Linked DNA regions of Neodiprion lecontei. The protein of the gene in region 1 purifies or fractionates together with the protein of each later gene. This does not show direct contact. Links are inferred from orthologs where the notes say so. Each region holds a gene or a part of one and is shown in the gene's direction. Other genes may lie near its edges.

Evidence for each region. Proteins that work in one complex are often made in the same cells at the same time.
Region 2: the proteins of lethal(2) giant larvae protein homolog 1 (region 1) and partitioning defective protein 6 purify together in Drosophila melanogaster (affinity purification with western blotting; 5 studies listed by BioGRID, with this or other methods). This does not show direct contact. The link is inferred for Neodiprion lecontei from reciprocal best matches to the Drosophila melanogaster genes l(2)gl and par-6.

Annotation. Positions count from the first base shown.
Region 1 is NC_060261.1:42,956,345-42,963,997, reverse strand, and holds the start of lethal(2) giant larvae protein homolog 1, read left to right. Parts: upstream 1-2,939; 5' UTR 2,940-3,254; intron 3,255-3,343; 5' UTR 3,344-3,347; coding exon 3,348-3,431; intron 3,432-5,157; coding exon 5,158-5,255; intron 5,256-5,605; coding exon 5,606-5,696; intron 5,697-6,380; coding exon 6,381-6,622; intron 6,623-6,789; coding exon 6,790-6,928; intron 6,929-7,445; coding exon 7,446-7,653. Other genes in the region: glutaminyl-peptide cyclotransferase, read left to right, coding at 65-290, 435-586. UniProt on the Drosophila melanogaster protein: Essential for the development of polarized epithelia, for cell polarity associated with asymmetric cell division of neuroblasts during development, and for oocyte polarity formation.
Region 2 is NC_060262.1:27,049,901-27,057,455, forward strand, and holds the start of partitioning defective protein 6, read left to right. Parts: upstream 1-2,489; 5' UTR 2,490-3,143; coding exon 3,144-3,203; intron 3,204-3,757; coding exon 3,758-3,986; intron 3,987-6,284; coding exon 6,285-6,412; intron 6,413-6,521; coding exon 6,522-6,800; intron 6,801-7,122; coding exon 7,123-7,428; 3' UTR 7,429-7,555.

The DNA of each region.
Region 1 (7,653 bases):
CAAAATCGTTTATGTATCTATATTGACAATTCTTAGCTAAGTCGATTGAATTTAATGATTTCAGGACGTTTTAGTACTTCTGGACTTAATAGGCGCCCCAGACCCGACGTTTTACAACTATTTTGAGAACACAGAAAAATGGTATGGGATGCTGATTAATGCGGAGAGAAAATTGGCAGCCATGCGAAGACTGGAAAAATATTCGTACGAAAATCCTGAGCAGACATATTTCCAGCCGTACTCAGTTCGGGCCAATATCGAAGATGATCATATTCCATTTTTAAAAAGAGGTGAGGAGAAAGATATGTTTTAATTCGATCAAGCTGCATTTGCTTATTCCAAAGGTTCTTTTTTTTCCGAAGTAATCAAACCAAGAATGGCGGTAGTGAAGTTAAAACAAATTTGTATCGTGTTTTGAAATGGCAAATTTTTAGGTGTGCCGGTACTCCATTTAATTCCGTCGCCTTTCCCCTCTTTCTGGCACCAATCGGGGGATAACAGAGGTAACATAGATATGGCTGCGACAGAAAACATCAATAAGATCCTGAGGATATTTGTCGCGTCGTACCTTGGGATGGATGTTTAATACTGCGGTATCGAATGGCACCAGTACTCGAAATCATTCAACTGCTCAATGTGTAGTCAATTAGGTACATGAGAAGAAAAAAAAAACTGAACTCTCTAACTCAATGTGAACTATTCGCCGACTTTATAAAGTATACTTGATATCAATTTTAAGATAAATATATTTGAAATGTCAACAAACTTGTGCACACTGCAGCATAACAGGTGTATTATTTATATTTATATATATATATATAAATATATTACATATTTATTGAACATTTTTCTAATTATGTGAAAATTTTTTATTTTATTATCTTGTGATAAATGGAAAGCAGTTATATTATTCGTCGAAATATCCATTTTACCGCAGTACCTATGCGTAATTGAATTTTTAAGAGAAGCATAATAACTATTACACTATTGCAAAATACGAGACGTGAAGATAGGCAGATGTAAATGCAGAATTCGGTTAAACGTGTGTAACATTCTGTTTTTCATCTTTTTCCATTCAAAACCGGATTTTCTATGGTTGGGCTGAAAATAATTTATAACAGGGATTGTAGACATATCATTACAGGACTACTTAAGAGTAGCAATTTTATATTTGACAATTTTTCAAATGGTTGGTCTATCGATTAGTAGCTTTTGCATGAGCATATGAAATTAGTTTTGTCATGAATCTGAAAGTACAATTGTACGCTACCAAAATTTAACAACGCTTATTTATTGTTATTATAAATTAATTAATTTGAAAATGTGCATATGAAAAGATATTGTAAAATGGTCTGTTAAAACAAATATATCATATTTTGATGAAGAGTAGCTGATATGTCTGTTCATTACTCAGCATCGGTACATTTTTGTTATCGTGTAAAACTCAGGTAGCGGACTTATTAGAATGCCTATTAGAGTCTACTGTAAAAAAAAACCGCTTACTTTGATAAACTTGACGAAGGCTTGACAAAAAAGGTAGTAATTACTGGTCAACTAATTTGACAATGACTAAGACGGTAAGCGTAAGAATGAAAATAAACCTGCTGACCTGTACAAAGCTTACTATTCTACCCGGGAGACAAGACCGAACTAAGATCGTTGCAGACTATTCCTCAAAACGTATCTTGACTTCCTGATGCGTGATCGTAATCGGTAATGAGAATGCCTCTCGATCTTTCATGATCATTCGAATACGGGATAAATGAGTATATTCTATTTGAAAATTCTTCTCTTCATTCCTCGGCGATCGTTTTTTCCGGTCTTCTTCCCCGATAGCAAATCAAATTGTAGCGATTAAACGTGTAGAATCGCTTAAATACAAACGGCCGAACAAATGGTGCCGAGCACGTACAGAACGAACGGAAAGCGCGGGACTCCTTTTTTTTAGAATAACAATAGAAAAATGACTGAACACCGATGCTATGAAGACATAAATTTTCTAGAATCATCTACCTAGTAAGTTAATTGAGAGTTCTTTTCGCGATCCCGGATTTGAACATGTTCGACAATAAGCCTGCATATGTTTCAAAATCAGGATTTCGGATCAAAAGATTCTGTCACAGTCAATATTGACGGCAAAGCAGCTAATGGATGGATTAACATGACGCAGTCGTAATTTTGAAAATTCGTTCGATTTGGTCAGGGCGGGGATGTTGAATGAACCCGTTTACAGGTGGCAGTAGCTACAAAATAGATATATACACATATACACATATACACATATAAAAAGGCCGGATTGAACTGTAACTTGTAACACCCGCCAATTACGTGCTCCGATCGCACAGTTTGTTGGATCACGTCTCGTTTATGAAAGAATGTTGCTTTGGGCACGTAAATTGACACATGTACATACATACATCGCATGCCGGAGAAAACGCGTTTGTCCACGAAATGTCCCGTTACCCTGACAATCTGACTAGAATGAAAGGCGTGCATCGTTTCGTGAATGTATATATTGTCATTTGTTAATTGATTTGCTATGCTCGAATGTCGACGCATTGTGCGCAATGCCATTGGTTTATAGGTATATGTTTGTACCTATACTGACTGCATACATACAATACGCGTAACACCAACAGTTTGTAGCGTTCGTGGAATATGTATGCATGTATGTAAGTACAACACATTGCAGAGAGAAATACATTGTACGTATTGTACATACAATGCGCACAAAACGAGCCGAGCACACGCTGAGTACACACGCTACAGGTTTCAAATGTTCGAGGTCATTGTTCGAGTGAATTCGGCCACAGCTCCGAACCCTGCCGATGTTGGGCGTTGAGCATAACGTTGCGGTCCCGTGACGTCACGCCGACCGAGCCGAGAAGAGCCGACCGTTTGGCGATTGGACGACCCGACACACGAAGTGACGAACACGAACGACGCGATCAAGAGTCGTGGAATGACTTACCGCCCCGCTTCGTCGAGATTTTACGTGCTTTTACGTGAATTTCTCTCGTGAAATTAGCGAAAATCTCTGATAGAAAAAGGTAAGAGGTGCCCGCGAGTGTTTTCGCTCAATTTTTTCACCCATTGTACGATATTTTTCGGTATATACGGTGCAGGCGAGTGACACACGGCGATATAGGCGTGTGTAGGACGTGGGAGCCGAACACACTGACAATAAACAGGCGTTCAGGAGTTGCACTAGCCTCGTTCGGCGTTCATTCAAGAATGTTTTAATTGAGCTAATAGTGAGATATCGTAACATTGCGATCGTTATAGCGTAAATGTGAATTGTTGTGTACGTATTCTTTTTCTTTTTTTCATTACCATCTCGCAGAAATATGTTGAAGTTTATCAGAGGGAAGGGTCAGCAACCCACAGCTGAGCGTCAGAAGTTGCAAAAGGACCTTTTCGCTTTCCGGAAGGTAAGCAGAACATAAACATTAATTAACAACTATTCATCCGATCAACAATATCGGAAGCACTCGTTTCATCATCAATTTCTATCGCGAACTAATCAACCCCGTACCAAATTCACACGTGTTTTAAACTTCGTTGGGAGTTTATTTATCAAATAATGGAACTTCATTTGTAATTTAAATACCGTCTGGCGATAATTGGCTATAGCCTTTATTATTTGTTCTTAAACCCTTATATCACCAAATGTTCATATTCAAATATACTACGGTAATGAAAAAATAATGAAATTAACTTGATATGTTAATTTTATTTTTTACTTTTATCCATGCCTAATGCGGTTATTTGTAGTTTGCAATTAGTTACAGTTTTGATTAAAAGATAAGTCGGTAGGTGTGCGTGAACCATGATGTGGCCTAGAGATAACAAACGCTGGTTTTTAATACCGTATCGGCTTTTCTTCTGCAATATTCTAAGTTGATGCAATTGATTTGTTATAATCGTAACTAGCAAGATTTAATGCAATAAACGATGGTTCATTTATACCTATCGGCAGTTGGTGGATATCTATCTTATCGTAAAACTCTGTTTAAAAACAGTGATAAGAGATGCCCTGCCCTTAAAACTAATATTTACTCGCATACATATGTATTTGTATCTAGTGTCTATGTATAGAGCGTTGCCATACATAAAGAAATAACTCCCTTTTTTTGTTTTTTTCAAACCATTGCCTATAGCTAGTTTCATTTAGTTATGCTTCTGTTGATAATGCATTCATGTGATTCTGAAAGAACAATGATCAACAGTTTTCAATTTTTCTTATAATTTTTGATGTAAGAATTGATGAAGGGGAAAGATTTTTCGAAATACATTTTGACATTGATACATGTGATACACGAGATATTGCTGAACTGATATATTAATTCGTGCTCCGATTTCTTATCTCTTGTATACACTTCGATACATGACTCACAAAATCTATTATCTATAATATATAAATTGATCACTCGTATTTTCTTGGGTAACAGAAAAGTGCTGATATTGTACGTACGATGCATTTTGGTATACACACACTGATATAACAATTAATAATCCGGCATGGAGCATGTTAAATATTGTATTTATTTATTGCCAATGAAAACGAGTCCAGGAAAGAATTTCATCTGTATGAATTTGCAGCGCAATTTGTAACATTCTGTGCAATTTGAGACTGATTGGAGTGATGTAAGAAGCAGTTTTATATTGTGGAATGTCACTTGTAAAAATAGAATCATTTATTATTCCATTTGTCTCCAATATTTAATCAGAGCCACTTAAAAGTAATTAAGCTCGTTAGATCGGGTCGTTTTTCAAATTGTGTGCGATAAGTCTGTTCATACTATTACTCTGATCTGTTCAAGCCAACTTGATTAACTATTCTGCATAGCAAATGAGTTGAGAAGAAATGTGTGTGTATTTTTTTTCTTGTCATATTGACAAACAGCATGTGAAAAACAGAGATAGCGAGAAAGAGTGAAAAAGTAAGATGAGATATATAAACAGGTCTAGCGTATTTAAGTTGTCAAAATATGAGTCATCCTCTTCTCAGATTACTCATAGGAAGCACATGTTAATCAAAATATGTTTTTTTTTTCAGTCAATTAATCTTGTTACCCTATATTGATCAGACTTTTCAGCCCAACAGGTAAAACCGGATGCTGATTTTTGTTGTCATAATATTCATTATTTTTGCAGACAATACAGCATGGATTTCCTAATAAGCCCACTGCATTCGCATGGGATTACAGTTTACGACTAATGATCATCGGCACAGCTTCTGGAGCCATCAAAGTGTATCCTTTTCTATTGATGGATGAGAGAAATTCAATTACTCGCAAACCCCATCACTGTTTGTTCTGATAGTGTGTTACAAAAAAGTTTAAATAGAAAAAACATCATGTGATGAATCAGCGGTGAATATGTTACCATTCCAAGATACCGGACGCCCTCGCATAGCTTTAGGTACCTGTGCCAGCATTGCGATCAGGTATTATAAAACCAACACTCTAATGTGTTCACTTTTCTGGGAAATATTTTATCAGCTGTGGTGAAAAATCCGTTGGTAGCATTTAACGTGGATACAATCTCTATTAGGTAGGAGTATGTATTTTCCTTAACCGATACCTGTGATATAAAATCACAGTTTTGGAAGGCCTGGTGTGGAATTTTACGGACAACACACAACGGAAAGCGGTGAAAATGCAGTCACCAAAATCATTGCTATACCAAACGAGGTGAGCACAATGGTCCTCTTTTATAGTTTTGTGATTAAATTTTTTTTTTTTCACGCTTTGGTAAACGCATCCATCAAAAATGGAAAAAACAAAAAACTGCCTGCATGACACTGCTATAAATTAAGTAACCCAAGGGAATGAAAATAAACTTTAATTTCTGTTGACGACTATACAGAGAAGTAAAAGCATAAAGCTGTGAAGTGTTATTATAAAAGTCATACACGTGCACCGAGGTAATCTGACACCTTCTTGCACTCACGATCACCACAAAATGTTACATAAGCCGTTAATGTGTAGGGGTGGTTTACATATATGCTATTCCTGTACCGTACCATCTAGACAAATCTTTCTTATTACTTGTAACTTTACTTGTAATAATTAATTGTTAGCGAGCTATGTGTTTGAACAATTGATGAATGGCAACATGCTGAAGTTACTAACGTTATTCAAACGATTCATTTTGTAGAACTATTTTTTTTGCGACTTTCGAATTGTTTGAAATACAGCAAATCGTAATAAAACAAATCACACTCATATTTTCAAATTTAAGTTTCTTTGAAGGGATTGAAAACTGGAAAACAGTGAATTTCTATCCAACGTTTTGTTATAATAATGTTACCACCTTCAACTTTGTTAATTGGTTGCTATTGCAGAAATGGAAAAATTTTTGAAATTATTTTTTAGGGACGTGTTGTATCGCTTTGCGACGACAACTCTCTACACCTGTGGGAGATCAATGAGAGTTCTTTGGTTGAAACAAAATCACTTTCCCTTGAAGGAAAGTTGAAAAAAATCTCTGCAATGTGTTTGGAATCCAACGGGGATCATCTATTACTAGGGACAGAAGGAGGAAATATTTATCTATTGAATCTAAAGTCATTTACAGTTTCTGATAATATCATTTATCAGGATGTTGTGATGCAAAAGTGAGTAGTGTATCTAGTACTAATTACTGGAAGTTATAAGGAGTTACTAAATCTTGAAGAGTTGAACAAATGACTCGTATTTGCAAAATAGATTATGATCATGATCCCGAATATTTCCGTTTTAATTACATGAATACTGGAATAAAAATTGCATAAAATTCACGCAGTGTCCCGGAGGATTACAAAATAAATCCTGGAGCAGTGGAGGCCATAGCCGAGCAACCTGGACATCCAGATAATATTTTAATTGGATACAATCGTGGGCTCATGGTTTTGTGGAACAAAGCTACACCCGGAGCCCAACAGGTGAGTTGAGAGTATGATCAAAATTAAGTAATACACCCTATTGTTAATCTATTAACTATTTGTTGCGTCAAGCTTTCTTATTTCAATTGAATAATAATTGTCCGCCACAATCAGAATTCTTATATTATCAAATACCAGTAGCTTTCTATTTTTTATTTTCAATTTCATTTGCTGCGTGTATTCTGTAGTTTCGTAAATATAATTGAATATCTTGGTGCGAAAACTCGCGTTTAACTTTAAACCATGAAGTATACTCAAGTGATAAAAAAATTTTATATGTTGTACCAGCATACTCTTAAATTTAATTTTCACAATTGTCACTACATTGAGACTTTGGAGCTAAAATATAGAACTGTAATGACCGTTCAGAGTTGGATATTATACAGTGTATGCATCGAGTAGATGGCTGAAGATTAGCTACGTAAATCGATTGTGCAAAGTTAGTTTTCGTTTAGTGCTGGCGACGCATTTTCTGACTGTTGTTTGTGTCTTTCGTGGTTTCGGTGAACGTGTGCAGCTGATGGGTTTATTTTCGCGTGCGCAGACATTCGTCTCCACCCAACAGCTGGAATCTATCTACTGGGTTTCCGAGACTCGTTTTGTATCTTCACACAATGATGGTTCGTACGCATTTTGGGGAGCTGGGAACGACACTGTGCCAGAATCCACAACCCTCTATGGACCATTTCCGTGTAAGGCTGTCTCCAAAATTCTGGCTCATCCGA
Region 2 (7,555 bases), on another chromosome or scaffold:
CCAATTTTTTAATAAATGCACTGAGAACTATAGAATGTTCAGTCAAAAAAGATATTCACTGTAATGACTCAAAGCAAAAAGAGCTGTCGATTCAAAACATTTAGAATGTTTTTTATTCATCGATACAATTAATAATCGAAGCAACGAATATCAAAGCGAATATCATGTTGGATGCGAACCATTTTTGTCGGTGTATGAACTTATGTGATTGTGCTAACCATACCTTCGTCTGTTTTAGCTAATTAAACCTTTTGTCTGTTTCAGGCAATCAAACTTTTTATCTGTTTCAGCTAATCAATCTTTTTGTTTGTTTCAGCTTATCAATCTTTTTGTTTGTTTCAGCTTATCAAACCTTTTGTCTGTTTCAATTATATATATATAATATTATATTATATAATATTATGTGATTGTGCTAACCATACCTTCGTCTGTTTCAGCTAATTAAACCTTTTGTCTGTTTCAGGCAATCAAACTTTTTGTCTGTTTCAGCTAATCAATCTTTTTGTTTGTTTCAGCTTATCAAACCTTTTGTCTGTTTCAATTATATATATATAATATTATATTATATAATATTATGTGATTGTGCTAACCATACCTTCGTCTGTTTCAGCTAATAAAACCTTTTGTCTGTTTCAGCCAATCAAACTTTTTGTCTGTTTCAGCTAATCAATCTTTTTGTTTCTTTCAGCTAATCAATCTTTTTGTTTGTTTCAGCTTATCAAACCTTTTGTCTGTTTCAATTTGTCTCTTTCCGTTAATTATATTTCAATCTGTTCCAGCTAAGTGAGTTATATTGACTATACTGTAAAATTAACGCTTTATTTTTGAGGCTTAGGTTTGGTGCAGCATCAGTCATCTTGTTTTGACCGTTACATAGATTTAGCGATGTAGTTTAGAATCATCATGATGACAAAGTGTGGTAAAATTTATTCAGCTATAGTTTCTTTTAATGGTTTTACAGTCTTGTATTGCGATCGTTTTAGAGTCAGTTTTTTTCTCGTGTCGCTCATAGGTCATGTTCGGTTTGTATTTCACTGTAGAATTATACAGGTCTGTCATATTCTGGTGGTTGTGCTCATTCTCTACTCCGAATTGTCTCTGTTTCTTCAAAGATTTCTGCATTGTCTTCCGAGAGGTAAATGCCAACGTCTTACAGCGATTCGTAATTCCAGTTTTGCGTATTCTCCGGGTTCTCTGTTTTAGTGATGATCTCATATCTCATAAAAAAAACCGTGCGCGAACATCCAAAGTCAATCACCGTTCGCCTATAAGATAAAATCAATCACCCTTCATCCATAATTAAAATAACCATCTTTCATCCGTAATTAGAACAGTCATCTTTCATCGATAATAAATGGTCCGTGGGTTATATGATCTAAAAAATTTAGAAGAAAAAAATTGATTGGGGAAAACAATTTACCATAAATCACATGTGAAAAGAGTCATTTGCAATTTTTCGAAGAACGTAAGATCGATCTTGCAAGTATTCTCCGTGGAGTAGGCCTACTGGGGATACCACGTAAAAAAAAACGCACCGGGTGCTCTACCGCTTGCGGTGGTGTGGAAACGAGCATATGTGAACTTATTTCACTGTTCAAATACTAATATATTTTAGTTTTCGAAGTGACAATTTTATTCTTGCGTAAATTTAATTCATTGTCAATAAAGTCATGCTTTGATAATGTGTAACGCATGTGGAATCGTAATACCTTCGGATTTCTCTAGTTTAGTCAGAGTAAATTCGACGTAAATACATGTTTGTTTTTGATAAATTTCGTTTCTTAATTAAAGACAACGAGGTGCATTATAGATACCTTTGGCAATTTAGAGTTTGACAATTTCAACATCGTTCTCCCCTGTTTGACCTTTCGCAGTCGACACAAGTTAATGTTACAATAAAACACTATATTTGCATACCAAATTAGCACGTATCCCGTGATAACCGATGAAAAAAAAAAACGAAGCTCATTCAAAACCGGGTCTTAGAAATGACTTTCAAATTTTGTTCGTTTAAGAAGATACGGCGTCCATACGGGGTTATATGAAAATTTCAATCTATTCCCGTTTGTCATTCTATAGGCATATTATTATTCGACTCTGTATTATCTGGGTTACCGACCGCTTACCGGATTGAGTTGCGCGTGTAGGGGAGGACGCAGAGGGCGCTGCTTGGCGACGAATTTATGTTGGGCATTTTCAATTACGAAAAGTCCCATAAAGGAAGCAGTTTTTATGTGTCTTCAGTCAACGGACCATACGCTTATATAGATAGACTGTACAACAAATGTATTTAACCATGTTTCTACAACAAATTTCTCCTCTTTCATTTCATATATTTTTTCCGTATTATTTCATTAGCTTAACCTATCTTGTTGTTTTCCGATGCATATGTATTTTCTGCCACCTGTCGTCACTACTCAAGAATCATCGTATTTGCATTTTCAGGTGATGAACTACGCATCTAGATATAGGAGCGTAAGTTGAGTAGTCTCTACCATCGCTACTCGCTAGTAATGATTAGAATGCCTCTGAAAAATACTAAGTGCGTGACTGTTGACGGTTCGACGGTTGTTTGACATCAAGCGTAGTTGAGAGCAAGTTGAGACGTATATACACGGTGTCTTCACATTCCATTCGCTCGCGGGAAATTCTTACGACATTTTGCTCCGTGTGTGAGACGATCTTGAGATATCAAAATTGCCGAAGTGAGGACGGTTATAACTAGAAAAGATTTGACGGAGCTTTTAAATTTGATCCTCGGAGGTGACAATTTTGGAAAGTGCATGGCTGATTGCTGCTGATTTTTCATACTTGGTTCCTACATGGCTCGCACTCATACCAATCTTCCCGTGTTCGAAATCGGAATGCTAGTTTGAATAATAAACACGGAGTAAAACGATGGCGACACCTATGCAGCGGTAGATTCCGTATCGTCGAGCAGCGACTCGTCGCGCCTCTCCGCTCCAGCTGCCTACATATGTAACCAATCACTCAGTAGCTTGCCTGTTTTCGTACTATGGTTTCGCGTTCTTTACCAACAACTCGCGTCCCTACGTGTTGTACGGGTTATTTTCTGTTTATGGATTTTCGCCCTCGGCGACAGGGGTTTTGCTGAGATTCTTTTTTTCTCTCTCAAATAGACCATGTCAAAGAATAAACTCCACCATCGCGTGGACAACGGCATCGTCGAAGTGAAGAGTAAGGTGAGGCCCCTCTTCTACCCTCAGTCATCAATGATCTTTAACCAATTCCAATGATCCATTTATTAACGCATAGAAATCATATGTATTTCATCTCATTAATCAGATACCTGACTTAGTCACTGTGCTCAGATTACTCTTTTTAAATATTTCTTCAAACTGTATGAGTCATTCAGTGCATTCTATGTCATAGAAAGGGCTTGTGACTCGTTCCAATTTTATGATTTCATCAAGAATAGTGTGTTTCTATTTTTTTTTCCAATCGTCTAGCTTCACCGATTCTCTTTACAGCTATGTACTTCATTACACAGCTTAAATTTTAATTGCATTGAGAAAAAAAAAATAAAAATAAAAAATAAAACCAGAAAGTAGGAGTATGGTTCCTGATATTATTTCGAAGCACGACCATTGTCTAACATATTTTTAGCTACGTCGATATTGCGATGTTTTCTTTTAAAAAGTACAATGCGTTCTTGTTCTTAGTTATAATATAATTATGTATTTGTATCTTGTGATAATGTGTAATGATTTTAAACAATTTTTTCTTTTATGTGCAGTTTGACGCTGAATTCAGAAGATTCTCGCTGAACAGAAATGAAACAATTAGATATGAGGACTTTAAAAATCTTCTGGCAAAGTTACACCAATTGGATGCAGATTTTAGTTTTTTAATCTCATACACGGACCCAAGAGATGGAGATCTACTTCCTATAAACAACGATGATAATTTGGGTAGAGCGCTGCTTACTGCTAAGCCAGTCCTCAGAATCATCATTCAACGCAAAGGTAAATTCGAGTTTTATCTAATCTTTTTGGTTGGTTGGCCATTTCGATACCTCGGTGCAATTCAACAGCATTTTTATCTACCGTTCGCCATCCATTAGTATTTTGAAACGGAGAGTGTATTATTAACTTGCTGCTTTTGTAAGTTTGAGCAATAACAGACGTGTTGCGAGAGAGTTTCATAATTTTGTGTACGATAACTGAATGGGATCTTATCTGGTTATCTTGCATGCAAAAATCAACATTATATATTCCAACCTCTTGGATATTTTTATAAGTTGTTGACCATTATTGCATTCTTGCATCGAGGTAGATTTTATCTACGGTTGTGAGATTTCTTTTAATTTCAATATTTATTCTGTGTGCGAAAGGCAGTAGTTGTGGTACAATGGGACAGAATGGGCCAGCAGGCTTTTGGTGTATGAAAATGCGACGGAGTACAGCTTTGGGGTGCCTTTGGCCAGTGGCTGTTTGATGTGTGTAATTTATATTGGTTGAAAGAATATACGCGGTTTGCCAAAAAGTGATATTTCACTGCGAATTATTCGTAATCAATTGATTCTCACATGGTTCTAAAAATTCATTGAAAGTGATTAAAACTTGCAGAGGACAATATTAAGAGTGACCAATTTTTTACTGCTACTATCTGTGATCTTCTATAAATTGCCATTAAACTAATGTCGGTATAAAATATATCTAGCTTAGCTTTTACCTCGAGATTTCTCTTACTAAATATATAACCACAGAACCTAAACACAGTGCCATATTTTTCTTGTTAGGTTTAGCTTTGCTCAAAAGCTGAATGATCTATATGTTGGTTATTAAAATCATAATTGTTATACATACATATAATGTATTTTGTAACTATAAGCTACATACACTCATCACGGCATACTTTAACAAATTTAACCTACGTTTGATGTTGCAAGCTTACTAGTTAATTAGGGGTACTTTAGATCAAATTTTTTTTTGTTATGCTTACCAATTTCTATCTCAAATGTGTTAATCCTGTGATTGTACAAATTTTTTATAATAAAATTTAATTATGGAAATAACTTTGACACTGTGGTTTATTTTCTGTTACTGTAAACTCTTATTGCTGATATGAAAGAAAACGTAATTTTTTAAATATTTTTTCGTGTACTTCTGAAACTAACAAAAGTTTGGTAGCCCCCAGTGCTGAAACTATAATTTTGGTTTCTTTGTCAATTAATGAAAAGTTAGTGGACGATTACTGCAAGATATTGAATCGACCACTAACATCAATCTTTTTTTTTTTATTTTGGTCATATAATTTAATAAGATATTATTAAATAGATAAGCTTCCCAATCTCTAGCAGTATTTTCATTCTCGTAAAATTCTTTTATTTCTTATAATATCTTTCTGTATACGTTATTGGAACTATATTCAATCATTGAATCAGAATGAATCTGAGTCGAAAGGGGGCGTTCATTTTACAATCAATTTCTACGCATGATTTTTCACTCACATACTTATTATGTGATAAGCCTTGATCTATACATTAGTAAGTCCTATGGAATGCTTCTTTGTGAATAGCAGATGCCCTACATATCTTTATACATTATGTGCGTTTGGTTTGAAAATATGATCTACTGATTTCAAATGAGCATTCCAAGCATACCTTTCTGTTGCCTTTTGTGGAAGGCGATAGCCATAATGTCTGAGTCGAACGTGATTTGCATGTAAAATTATTCAAGACAATTGTCGCTATATATAAAAGGCAACTGGAATTTCTAATGGCAATGTCAGCTTATTTATGAAAGCTATTTACTTTAATGATAAATTCTTACAATTTTCATGATTAAATAAACAGGTAATATTTTCACAATCTAACCACAAGGGCTTACATAAATTTTTGATTAAAGCAATATCTTATCATTTTAATAGTACACACTATAAATACCTAGTCCTGTTTCCTATTTTCAAATATATAAGATGATACATCTCATTTGAATATGATGACCAAAACTACCCTAGTAGCGTTGCCTTCAGTTGCAAAAATTTGAAAAGACTGTGGGAAGTCTTTCTACAGAGTCAATTCAGAATCTTCCCTGACAGCGGCATCTTGCTACCTGACATCAGACTTCTGCAAGATTTCGAATAATGCAGATTCTAACGTCAGACCCGCAGTCAAATGTGAAAGTAGACGCATAGAGTCTGCAGTTGCAGCTGGTAGGCAGGCTTACCTCAGAATGCTACTAGGGTAGTATGATATTCAAATTGAATTACATAATATTAATTATTGGTAATAATTTTTATTCTATTAATTATGTTTGCAGGGGACAGTTTGGAAGAAATGAATGGGTATGGAACCATGAAACCACGGAATTTAATATCAAGTATTTTAGGTGGAACACCTGGGAAACCAAAATCTTTGGCAATATCGAATCCCCATGATTTCAGACAGGTTTGTTCATCGAATAACGATACATGTAACTTTTGCAATTGTCGGTTAACCATGATTAACATGGAAAATAATTAATAATCAGTACAAACTTATACCAACATCTTCATAGGTTTCCGCTATCATCGATGTGGATATTTTGCCAGAGACGTGCAGACGTGTTCGGCTTTTGAAGCACGGTTCAGATAAGCCTCTCGGTTTTTACATCAGAGATGGGAGTAGTGTGAGAGTATTACCCCCTTCCGCTGGTGGAGGAATTGAGAAAGTACCAGGAATATTTATCAGTAGATTGGTTCCTGGCGGCCTTGCTGAAAGTACAGGCCTTCTTGCAGTGAATGACGAAGTGCTGGAAGTAAACGGAATAGAAGTAGCTGGAAAAACTCTAGATCAGGTAGACCGATGCTTTCTCAGTTTTTGGACATGACTCTGACTGAAAATAATTGAAAAGTAATTTCTTGTTTCAATTTATATTCATTGTGTTGATCATGTTTACCGCTAATAAGAAAAATCAATATCTTTTCTTCTGTTATATTCAATTTTTTTCAATAATCGTTATCATAATATGAAAATCATGAAGCGTACAAGATTGGAAATACACATTTTTGTAGTTCGTAAACTTCTCTGCTACATTCCAATACATATACTTGATGAAGCAATTTACATAAGATCAAAAATATAAAGAAATTTTGACTGAAAACTCATTTTGGGTATAGGTAACTGATATGATGGTGGCAAATTCATCGAATCTGATAATAACGGTGAAACCAGCCAATCAGCGAGGTGCCTTGGCTGCCCCAAGACGTGGTTCATTTTCTCGTAACAGTCAACTTTCGTCGGGCAGTCACCAATCAACACAGAGCGCAGCAACAGGCAGTGACGAAGATGCTGATGAAATTGTAGATTTAACTGGAGTAACACTACATGATGATGCATCAACTTCGCATCATCAACACCCACATCACCACCACCACCATCATCACAACCACTTCAATCATGACCAAGGTGTATTGCATCTTTAGGTTGAGAAGTGTACGGTATATATAGCATCGATAAGCAAATTAGATAAATTAAAGAATCGGCTAAATAGAGGAAGCAAAAAGAAAATCAGTGATGGTAAATTATAGGTAGAATGACAAAAATTTGCGA